Linked DNA regions of Caenorhabditis elegans. The protein of the gene in region 1 purifies or fractionates together with the protein of each later gene. This does not show direct contact. Each region holds a gene or a part of one and is shown in the gene's direction. Other genes may lie near its edges.

Region 1 (3,599 bases):
TTAGGCGATTTTCTACTTGGTGCTTCGTTTTCTTGCATTCACGTTCTGCTGACAACAATTGTCTACCACTATGTTCCAGAGCCGTATATGGATGAGATCTTCCACATTAGTGAGACACAATTGTCGAGATTCTGTCTACAATTTCCCTAATTTTCAGCTCAAACTAGATCATATTGCTCAGGAAATTACAGCTGGAATCCATTAATTACAACTCCACCGGCACTTTATGTTATTTCAATGCCATTATGTGGTGGAAATGAAAGATACGCTAACTCGATTCTTCTATTTTTCGCTATACCAGCATTTTGCCGTTTTCGGAGAATGTTCGTTAGAGTAAGAATTCCAACTTTGAAGATTTATTTGAAAAATACCGATTTGCAGCAAGATGTATGGCTGACTGCATCAATCGTCGGAATGCTTCCAATTTTGATATCGTCTTCAATTCTTTTTTATACCGATTTGTTGTCACTCACTTCAGTTATTTGGGGATTTTCGATCGGGTAAATCAATGCATCTATTGAAAATAATGATGTGATATTTCAGAAACCCAATTGCATCTGCGTTCTTATTCCTAATCTCAATACTGACACGCCAGACAAATATCATTTGGGCAGCGATATACGCGTTCTCTGTAATTGCTTCAAGAATTGACAAGTCCCGCTCAAAAATGGAAAATCTTAAGATCATAATTTCAACTGCATTTTCTCTATGGCCATTCATTACACTTGCAATTGGATTTGCGATGTTTATATATTTCAATGATTTCCAAATTGTCCTTGGAGATGCAAAAGCTCACCAACCAAAGTTCCACGTGGCTCAATTTTTCTACATGGTTGCATTCTGCGCGGCTCACACTTGGACTCAAATCATCCCAAATCTGTTATCTCACCTTCGACACCTAACCGACATGAAATCATTAGTTCTACAAGCAGTTGTGGCAGTTCTTGTCTACTACTATTCTTATGATCACCCGTATCTTCTCGCTGATAATCGGCATTTCACATTCTACATCTGGAGGCGATTCTTGGCAAATCCCACAATGCGGACAACTCTTGCTCCTCTCTACGTGTTTTCTTTAAGATTTATGACGACATCGACACCGTCCGTGCATATATTCCACAAAATTCTATTTATAATCGCATCTTTACTCGTTTTGGTTCCAGCTCATCTATTCGAAATGCGATATTATATTATTCCTTATGTTCTCTGGAGACTTTCGACTGTAAATAACTCTAGAAAATCACTTCTCTTCTTGGAAATTATATCTCAAGCTGTGATTTTTGCGGCAGTTTTTGTTTTATTCTTATTTAAAACGTTCGAATGGTCCAACGAACCTGGCGTCAAGCAACGGTTCATGTTCTAGGATTTTACAGTTATCTATTTGATTTTCTTGTTTTTCTTACGGGGTTTTTTAATAAAAAATAATTAATTTATTTTCTATGGAATTATTCTTATTGAGAACGAATTTGTTCAGAAATTGCAACAAAAAAACGAAAAAGAAATAAAAATTTCTCGAATACAGTAACCACATTAGATGAGTCGTGGGTCTCGCAGCGATTACCAAGTTTGCCCTTTTCGTTTCATGAAATTTCATGTTTTGTTCTATTTTTCTCGCGCCTTAGTTTCGCATTTTTACAGATTCTAAAAACATTTTCAATTGAGAAACCGTCATTTTTTTTTCATTTAAATCATTCTTAATGCTTTCTAGACTTTCTGTTTCAAGCGCAGCTTAAGATTTTGAAAGCAATTATTCTCTTCTCTTCCAGACTCAAACGGAATGCCATCACCAGCACGCAGGTCTCGGCGACGGCGTTCATCGTTGTTGAACTTTTCGTTCTCAGAAGTCGATTTGGAACAACAAAGGTTTGACTGTGAATAGTATTCCTATTCGGTACCTGATTATTTTACAGGCGAGCGTTAGAGATGTTTGAGCAGCAGATGAACGATCAAGCTTTTGCACAACTTATTCATGATCACGATGTCCAACATATAAATAATGATGCAAATCAAGTCCCGGCAGCGCCCAACACACCGCCAGTTCCAGTACCTCCGCCAGTTCAGCAACCACAAGCATCGCCCAATGCGAGCCCGGTTTCCGTTTTGAGACGTCGGAGATATGCAAACCCTGAACAGGAGAGATTTGGAGATATTAGCCGACGCATACATAATCCTGCAAATCAAATCCCGGCAGCACCCAATACACAGCCAGAGGTACCTCCTACTGTTCAGCAACCAGAATCATCTTCTCAAGAGCGTGCATCACCCACATCGCCAGAGATTACGATTTTTTCTACAGGATTGTTGGGCTTGAGACGTCGGAGTTCTGCAAGAATCTCAATCAGAATGTCAGCGACTGCTCAAACCAATCTACCGATTACACCGATTCGTAGAAGAAGGGGTCGAGCAGTTTCTCCCATCCTTGAAATCGAGTTTGAAAACCTTTCAAGTAGCAGTAGTGGAACCAGCGGTGACTCGGGAAATCATTCGTCACCAACGAACACTAACGATCAATCATTTATTGGCGATGATGCGAGAACATATGACCAGGAGCACGTTCCCATAGACTTTGAAGGGCCGAGCACATCTACCGGAATCACAGATCGACATCCCAGACGACGCAATCAAGACGGCTCCCACGGAGAGTGTACAATGTGCTTCGAGGTTCCGGTTTCGCCGCTTGGATGCAACAATTGTCTACAGATTATTGGATGTGAAGAGTAATTGTAGCAGTTTTTGTCGACATTAACATAAATATAATTTTCAGATGTGTCGATATTTGGTATCGCAGTTCGTCCAAACCATCGTGCCCGCTTTGTCGTCGAAAATGGGCAAGAAAGCCGGACGTATCGAAGATGTCTGTGATTTCTGTGAGAAAACAGTCTTCTCTTCGTCGATCCAAGCGCCGAATAACTTCCAAATAATTTGTAAATTCCCTTTAACTCATATTGTTTTGTGCCATATAACTCACCTATATTGCTTGTAAAATCGTTAAGATTACTATATTATCGGAGATTGCCTGTTTTTTTTTATTTGCCTATTTTTTAATCCAATCTCACAAAAAAATGAATGCATGTATATATATTTTCGAATATTGATGTCTTCTCAACTTATGTTTTAGTCATGATACTTCTAACATATTTTCTTCGTTGTTTGCGGTGATTTTTTACTGTTCCAGTTCATTAGCAAAATGTGCCGAAATATATACAATCGCTTGATTTATCTGAAAATATCTTTATTTTCAGCTGAAGTTTTGGAAAAAATGCCCAAAATAGCCTGAAATTTGATTATCGTATTGAAGAATTATCGAGCTTGTTTTTCGACAATCACCAACTTGCCGCCCATTTTGAGCAATTTTTCGAAAATATTTCAGCAGAAAAATTGTTATTTGAGATAAATCAAATGATCGTCGATATTCTGACACTTTTTTAAAGGTGTAACTATTCCTTTTTAATATTTTGTTATTTGTATTAGCATTCTCTAAAATTTCAAATTTTGATATTTCAGTCAACAAGTTGGATGGATCCAATGCGTGGATCTCGTCAACATAGGATAAAAGGTTTTCCTGAAGTTGATGTGGAAGAGCAAAGACGAGCATTCAG
Region 2 (7,766 bases), on another chromosome or scaffold:
GTAGATGAAGCACGGGACAATGGAGTATCTTCACGACTTCCAACATCATCACTGAGCACGAGACCTTTACCTCCACGTTTTTTCGATACATACTACAAGATAAATTGGTTTAAAAATTAAATCCCAAATCAAAAACTTACAGCTGAGACAACCATAACTTGATCATAAAACTTCAACTCTTCAGGATTCGCATTTTTCGCGCGATCAGCATGCTCAGACTTTCTGCAAAAATTGTATTATTAAAAAGACCTGAACAAACCAAAAAAATTTAAATTATACTTAAAAGTAATAGTAGCAGTTCCACAATTTCTGGAATGCTTTGGAAGTGTTCCGAACACTGATGTCTTTTTCTCTTCGCGAGGCAGAATGCAGCTGGTTATCTGGAAATTTAATTTTAAAATTTTATATTTAAATGATAATTAAAACAACACACTTTTCCATATTGAGAAAAGAAGGATTGAAGCTGTGATTGGGTGACTTTAGCAGAAATATTCGAAACCACGATTTTTCGATCATCACGAGAAGTATGTTGGAAAGCGATAGATGCATCGAAATCTGAAAAAAAAAACAATTATTGATTTTTTTTCCAAATTTTAAGATTTATTACCGTCTGTTTCTCCTCCATCAAATGCATCTCCATCGGCGAGTAACATTGGTAAAAGTCGTCGATATTTCATAAACTCTGCGGCAGAGTGGGACCAAGTTCGCCTGAAAATATTTTAATTTTAATTTAGAAAAAACCAGAGCTAAAATGTTGATATTACCTCAATTTTCCAATACTGAAAAACCGTGCCCTTGTGACAAATGACTGAAATGCTTCAGTCATATCATGAAGCCCTCGGCTCTCCAAGTTCTGTCCATGAAGCCGGCGGAGTGCTTTGAACATACTCTGAAAAATTGAAAATGTGTGAAAAAAACGTTTTTTCGAGAGAAAAGATAACAGAACCATATGATTTGATTTGGCTACTGTTCCCTAGTGTTTTCTTATCACATTAACATTTATTTGGTAGACAAAAAATCGAATTGTGTTCTCTAACCTGTTGTGATTTAGCACTTCCAGCGCTCCCGAGGTTCGATGTGAAGCTTCGATTGAAATCCATTTTTTAGGTTTAACTGTTTTCTGAAATTGAAACATTAATAATAAATTTGAAAACAATTTTGATCGATTTTCACTAGTCGTTGTTCGGAGGAGGAATGGCGCATGTTTACCAGTGAGTCGGGTTAGAGATTATACGGAAGTGAAGAGACGCAGAAAACGGGACATTCGGATGCTTGGGGACACATTGGTCACTATGAAACGTTCAAAAGCACCAATTCAAAGAAAATCTAGAAAATTTGCAGTTTTTGAACAGCTTTTAAATTTAAAATCATGCTTTAAAAGACCTTGTTTTTTGTTAACTTTGAAGGCAAAGGGTATTTGCAATAACGATTTTACATTAACACAAACTTATATATCCATTTTTGGAAATACTAAAATAAATTCAAAAAAACACAATGAAACATATTTACAAACGAAATGAAAGCCGGCAGCTTCAATAAAATAAAAAATAATTGTTGAAAAAATATAATTAAAGAAAGCTGCACACTGTGCGGCACAATTGCGAAAAAGCGGGCCGCAGTTTGCATGAAAGACCACGCCCACTATTTTAGATTTCGAATTTGTTTTTTTACTCTAATTTTCTATTGTTCGAGTTTTTCGGAATTAAAACTGCTTTAAAGAATTATTTTATTAAATTTTTTATCTGTAAATTTCAGGATGGACCAGCTTGAGCACCTCTCACTTGTGAGCAAGGTCCTCAGTGAAGTTGAGAACCATTTTGGTGTCGTCGAAAAAGATGTCGCTGAGTTTGTTATTCATTTGGCTCAAGAGAATCCAACATTTGATAAACTGAAAAAGGCTTTGGATAGTCAGGGACTTGGGGATCAGGTATGTTGAAATATGAGAAAATTTAACGACTAAATTATTTTTTTAAAGGAAATTTCAAAATTATTTTAATTCAAGGTGTTTTAAAATATTTTGATGAATATCAAATATCGAGATTTAAAAAAAACATTATTCGTCTCATAAATATAAAAGTCTCGATATTCCTCTCTTTAATTCTAAATTTCAGTTTGATGATTCCCTCACTGCGACCATACTTCGTATAGTACAAAGCATGACTGCTGTTAAAAAGAAAAACAAGAAAGGTGGTGATTCAAAAGAAGATATCAAGGATTCACACAAAATTACATTGATTTCTGATGCAAAAGAAGAAATTAAAGCACGACTTCCAGCTCTAGCGATGGCAAATACTGCGAAAGAAAAGGAAGATAATGAAGATGATCTTATGGCTCAGTTAGAAAAGATGGAAGGCCGATATGAAAGTGAGGTACGTATCTTTGATATTTGAAATTTGTTAAAATAAATTTTCCATTTACAGAAACGTCTTCAAAAGGAATCAGATTCAAAACGAAACCGTTCAAGAAGTCGATCAAGGAGTCGTGATCGAAAACGAAGAAGAAGTCGTAGTGGTGACAGGGATCGTCGGAGACGTAGTAGGAGTCGTGAAGACAGAAGAGATCGAGATAGGAGGGATCGGGACAGAGACAGAGACAGAGGACGTGGGGATCGAAGAGGAGACGACAGACAAAGAGATCGGCGTGATCGACGAGATGATGGTGGTGCTAGAAAATCCGAAGTTGCAGAAATCGGAAAAATCTACGATGGTCGTGTAAACAGTATTCAATCGTTCGGAGCTTTCATCACACTGGAAGGTTTCCGTCAAAAACAAGAAGGACTTGTTCACATCTCCCAAATTCGAAATGAACGAGTTCAAACCGTCGCAGATGTTTTGAAAAGAGGAGAAAATGTCAAAGTTAAAGTTAATAAGATTGAAAATGGAAAAATCTCGTTGTCAATGAAAGAAGTCGATCAGAATAGTGGAGAAGATTTGAATCCACGCGAGACCGACCTGAATCCGGATGCAATCGGAGTTCGTCCACGGACACCGCCAGCATCAACTTCCTCGTGGATGAATCCTGAAGCAAGTGGAGTAGGACAAGGTCCTTCGACCTCAATTGGTGGTGGAAAGGCGAGAGTTCGAATTTCGACACCTGAACGGTGGGAATTAAGACAAATGCAAGGAGCCGGAGTTCTCACAGCCACAGATATGCCTGATTTTGATGAAGAAATGGGAGTTCTAAGAAATTATGATGGTGAGTATTTTATTTATGATCTAGTAATTAATGATAAATTTGAAAAAAAAATTATTTTCTCTTGAAAATCACTAAATTATTTTTGAATTCCGCGCAAATGGTGCTTTATTTTGCTTACCGTATTTCCTCTATTAGTCTTGCACCCCTACGGGTCAATCTAAAATTAGTCTTGCAGCCTCTATTAGTATTGCATGCAAGACTAATAGAGAACATACGGTATTAGTCTTGCACCCCTATTCTTGCCAGACCAGCAGTATTTTGTGAAAACTTCAACAATTTCGCCATTTTATAGCTAAATTAAATTTTAAAGTGTTAAAATAATTGATAAAACAATAGAAAAGTATGTATTTTGCATGATTTAGACTGTTTCAAGTCAAATTTGTGACGATAAATGGCCAATTGAACAAATCTATCGGGTCTTCGAAAATTAGTCTTGCAGCCTCTAATAGTCTTGCAGTCTCTATTAGTCTTGCACCCCTACGGGTCAATCGAAAATTAGTCTTGCATGCAAGACTAATAGAGGAAATACGGTATATGATTTTTTAAAAATAATTTATATTTAAAAAAAAAACTGCAAAATTTTTTTAATTGAAAACAATTTCAATTTCTCTTGAAAATGACTAAAAATGATGTTTTACAGACATTTTTCCTTAAAAATTGACAGTAATTTATCGTTTTTAAGCCGATTTTTTATTTTCAACAAAATTTAAATTTGGTTTTCTTTACTGAAAAATGCCAAAGTATGACAAAAGATGCATCGGAGAATAAATATCGAATTTAGCCTGAAAAATGCGAATACTTTACAATTACGGCAATAATTTTCCCGGGAATTCAAATAAAATTAAAAATTAAGCAAGATTGAAAAAAAAACATGAAAAAAATGATGGTATAAAATTTATGATTTAATAATTTATCAAGAAAAATTGTAAAATTTTTTGAATTAAAACAAATTAATTTTTCCTGAAAATGACTAAATTGTTTTTGAATTCGCGCACGCAGACATTTTTCCTCAAAAATCGACACTAATTTATCGTTTTTAAGACGATTTTTTAGTTTCAACAGACAAGCCAAAATATGACAAAAGTTGCATATATCAAAGGAAAAATTTCGAATTTAGCAGGAAAATGCGAAAAATTACAAGGAAATGATTTTCCCGATAATTCAAAGACAATTTTTAAAAAAGCTAAATTTAAAAAAAAATCATTAAATATTTAAAATAAAGTTTCTATCATTTAAAGCACAACAATTTTTCAATTTTCAGATGAAAGTGATGGCGAGGATATTGAAATCGAGCTTGTCGAAGACGAACCTGACTTTTTACGTGGATATGGAAAAGGCGGTGCAGAAATAGAACCTGTAAAAGTTGTCAAAAATCCGGATGGTTCATTAGCTCAAGCAGCTTTAATGCAAGGTGCTCTTTCAAAAGAACGAAAAGAAACGAAAATTCAAGCACAACGAGAGCGTGATATGGATACACAGAAAGGATTCAGTTCAAATGCTCGAATTCTTGATCCTATGTCTGGAAATCAGTCGACTGCGTGGAGTGCTGATGAGTCAAAGGATCGGAATAATAAAATGAAAGAAATGCCAGAATGGTTGAAACATGTGACAGCTGGTGGAAAAGCGACTTATGGAAGAAGAACCAATTTGAGTATGGTTGAGCAGAGAGAAAGTCTTCCGATCTTTGCGTTGAAAAAGAATCTGATGGAAGCAATGATTGATAATCAAATTCTTGTCGTTGTTGGAGAAACTGGATCAGGAAAGACTACTCAGATGACACAATATGCAATTGAAGCTGGACTTGGAAGACGTGGTAAAATTGGATGTACCCAGCCTCGTCGTGTTGCAGCAATGTCCGTAGCAAAGCGTGTGGCAGAAGAGTACGGTTGTAAGCTGGGAACTGATGTTGGATATACAATTCGTTTCGAAGATTGTACAAGTCAAGATACTATTATCAAGTACATGACGGATGGTATGCTTCTGAGAGAATGTCTTATTGATCCTGATCTTTCTGGATATTCGTTGATTATGCTTGATGAGGCTCACGAACGTACAATTCATACGGATGTCTTGTTTGGATTATTGAAAGCTGCTGCTAGAAAACGTCCGGAACTGAAGCTGATTATCACTAGTGCCACCTTGGATTCAGTTAAATTTTCAGAGTATTTCCTGGAAGCTCCGATCTTTACAATTCCTGGAAGAACATTCCCCGTTGAGATCCTGTACACAAGAGAACCAGAATCAGATTACCTTGAAGCTGCACATATTACTGTAATGCAAATTCATTTGACTGAGCCACCTGGTGATGTTCTTGTGTTTTTGACTGGACAAGAAGAAATTGATACATCGTGTGAAGTTTTATATGAACGAATGAAATCAATGGGACCTGATGTGCCGGAGCTGATTATTCTTCCTGTCTACGGAGCTCTTCCAAGTGAAATGCAAACAAGAATCTTTGATCCAGCTCCTGCCGGAAAGCGAAAAGTTGTTATTGCTACGAATATTGCCGAAACTTCTTTGACAATTGATGGAATTTTCTATGTCGTTGATCCAGGATTTGTGAAACAGAAGATTTACAATCCGAAAAGTGGAATGGATTCCTTGGTAAGCATTTATGCACCCGTCAGGGATTTCACGAAAAAATTCGACCAAAAAACAAGACAAAAAACGAAAAAAAAATTTCAAAAAACACGAAAAGCGGCTAAAAAAACGAAAAAAAAAATCAATTTTTACCAGAAAGTTCAAAAACCAGGAGAACAAGTTTTTTCGAAGACGAAAAACGAAAAAATAATATTTTGCCAAAAACAAAAAAAACTCGGATTTCTTTTTAAAAAAAACTTTTTTTTTTTGGTTTTTGTCTTAAAAAAAACGAAGAAAAAAATCCATTTTTACCAGAGAGACCAAAAACAAGAAAAAAAATTTTGTTCGAAGCGAAACAATTTATTTCGCCAAAAACAGGAAAAAACTGAAATTTTATATTTTTGAAATGTTTGAAACGAAAATTCTTATTATTTCAAGAATAAATATTTGTAGAGTTATATTTAATTTTGAGTGTAATGTTTTGTGAAAAAAAGTGGAATAAATATTTTTTCGCCTTTTTTTAACAAATTTTTTTTCGAAAAAGTGAATCATACATTTTTCGCCTTTTTTCATAAATTTTGATTCGAAAAAAAAGTGAAAAAAAAATGTTTTCACCAGAAACTGAAAATGATGCAATAAAATTCAATATTGTTTGCAATTAGACGAATTAAAATTATTAGCTACTCAAAATAAGATAATTTTTTTCGAGATATTAAAAAACAATTTTCTGATAAATAAGAACGAAAATACAATATAAATTTCAGGTTGTCACCCCAATCTCACAAGCCGCAGCAAAGCAACGATCAGGACGTGCAGGACGTACGGGACCTGGAAAATGCTATCGTCTCTACACAGAACGTGCATTCCGTGATGAGATGCTTCCGACACCTGTTCCAGAAATTCAGCGAACAAATTTGGCGTCAACACTTCTTCAGCTTAAAGCTATGGGAATCAATAATTTGATTGATTTTGATTTCATGGATGCTCCACCTCTGGATTCAATGATTACTGCTCTCAATACACTTCACACGCTTTCAGCACTTGATGGAGATGGTCTTCTCACGAAACTTGGTCGTCGAATGGCTGAATTTCCATTGGAACCATCACTTTCCAAATTGTTGATCATGTCTGTCGATCTGGGATGCTCAGAAGAAGTTCTTACGATTGTGGCAATGCTCAATGTGCAAAACATTTTCTATCGACCTAAAGAAAAACAGGATCATGCTGACCAGAAGAAGGCGAAATTCCATCAACCAGAAGGAGATCATTTGACACTTCTAGCGGTTTACAATTCATGGAAAAACCATCATTTCTCACAACCATGGTGTTTCGAAAATTTCATTCAAGTGAGAAGTATGAAGAGAGCTCAGGACATTCGTAAGCAATTACTCGGAATCATGGATCGTCATAAACTTCTGATGGTCAGTTGTGGACGGGATGTATCGAGAGTTCAGAAGGCTATTTGCTCTGGATTCTTCCGAAATGCTGCAAAACGTGATCCACAGGAAGGATATCGAACATTGACTGATGGACAGAATGTTTATATTCATCCATCATCAGCATGTTTCCAACAACAACCAGAATGGGTTGTATATCATGAACTCGTCATGACAACTAAGGAATATATGAGAGAAGTAAGTTTATTTCAATTTTATATACGGAAAAGTACTGTAGGCGGAAAACACAAAAATGTCGAAACTAGGCCATTATGCTCCCTTTTGAAATATTTTCAAAATTTGAAAAAAAAATACAAAGTTTAGAGAAATTATATACATTTTTAAAATTCATATTTGGCATATGGAGACTTTATTCTTTCATTTAGGGCCAAAAACTATTTAAGTCTAAATAAGAAATTAAATAAAAACCTAATTTTCAATTTCCAGGTCACCGCAATCGATCCAAAATGGCTTGTTGAATTTGCACCGTCATTCTTCAAAATCGGAGATTCTACCAAATTATCAACATTCAAACGAAACCAGAAAATCGATCCG

The links. Proteins that work in one complex are often made in the same cells at the same time.
Region 2: the proteins of T24D1.3 (region 1) and mog-5 fractionate together in Caenorhabditis elegans (co-fractionation; one large-scale study listed by BioGRID). This does not show direct contact.

Annotation. Positions count from the first base shown.
Region 1 is NC_003279.8:9,958,263-9,961,861, reverse strand, and holds T24D1.3 (RING-type domain-containing protein), read left to right. Parts: upstream 1-1,766; 5' UTR 1,767-1,777; coding exon 1,778-1,863; intron 1,864-1,910; coding exon 1,911-2,717; intron 2,718-2,764; coding exon 2,765-2,921; 3' UTR 2,922-3,080; downstream 3,081-3,599. Other genes in the region: algn-10 (Dol-P-Glc:Glc(2)Man(9)GlcNAc(2)-PP-Dol alpha-1,2-glucosyltransferase), read left to right, coding at 5-109, 158-333, 382-500, 544-1,363; har-2 (RING-type domain-containing protein), read left to right, coding at 3,517-3,599.
Region 2 is NC_003280.10:5,397,783-5,405,548, forward strand, and holds the start of mog-5 (putative pre-mRNA-splicing factor ATP-dependent RNA helicase mog-5), read left to right. Parts: upstream 1-1,755; 5' UTR 1,756-1,756; coding exon 1,757-1,927; intron 1,928-2,111; coding exon 2,112-2,369; intron 2,370-2,420; coding exon 2,421-3,195; intron 3,196-4,456; coding exon 4,457-5,799; intron 5,800-6,539; coding exon 6,540-7,409; intron 7,410-7,658; coding exon 7,659-7,766. Other genes in the region: fbxl-3 (Putative RNA-binding protein EEED8.10), read right to left, coding at 1-92, 141-222, 280-380, 434-555, 608-708, 765-889, 1,038-1,100.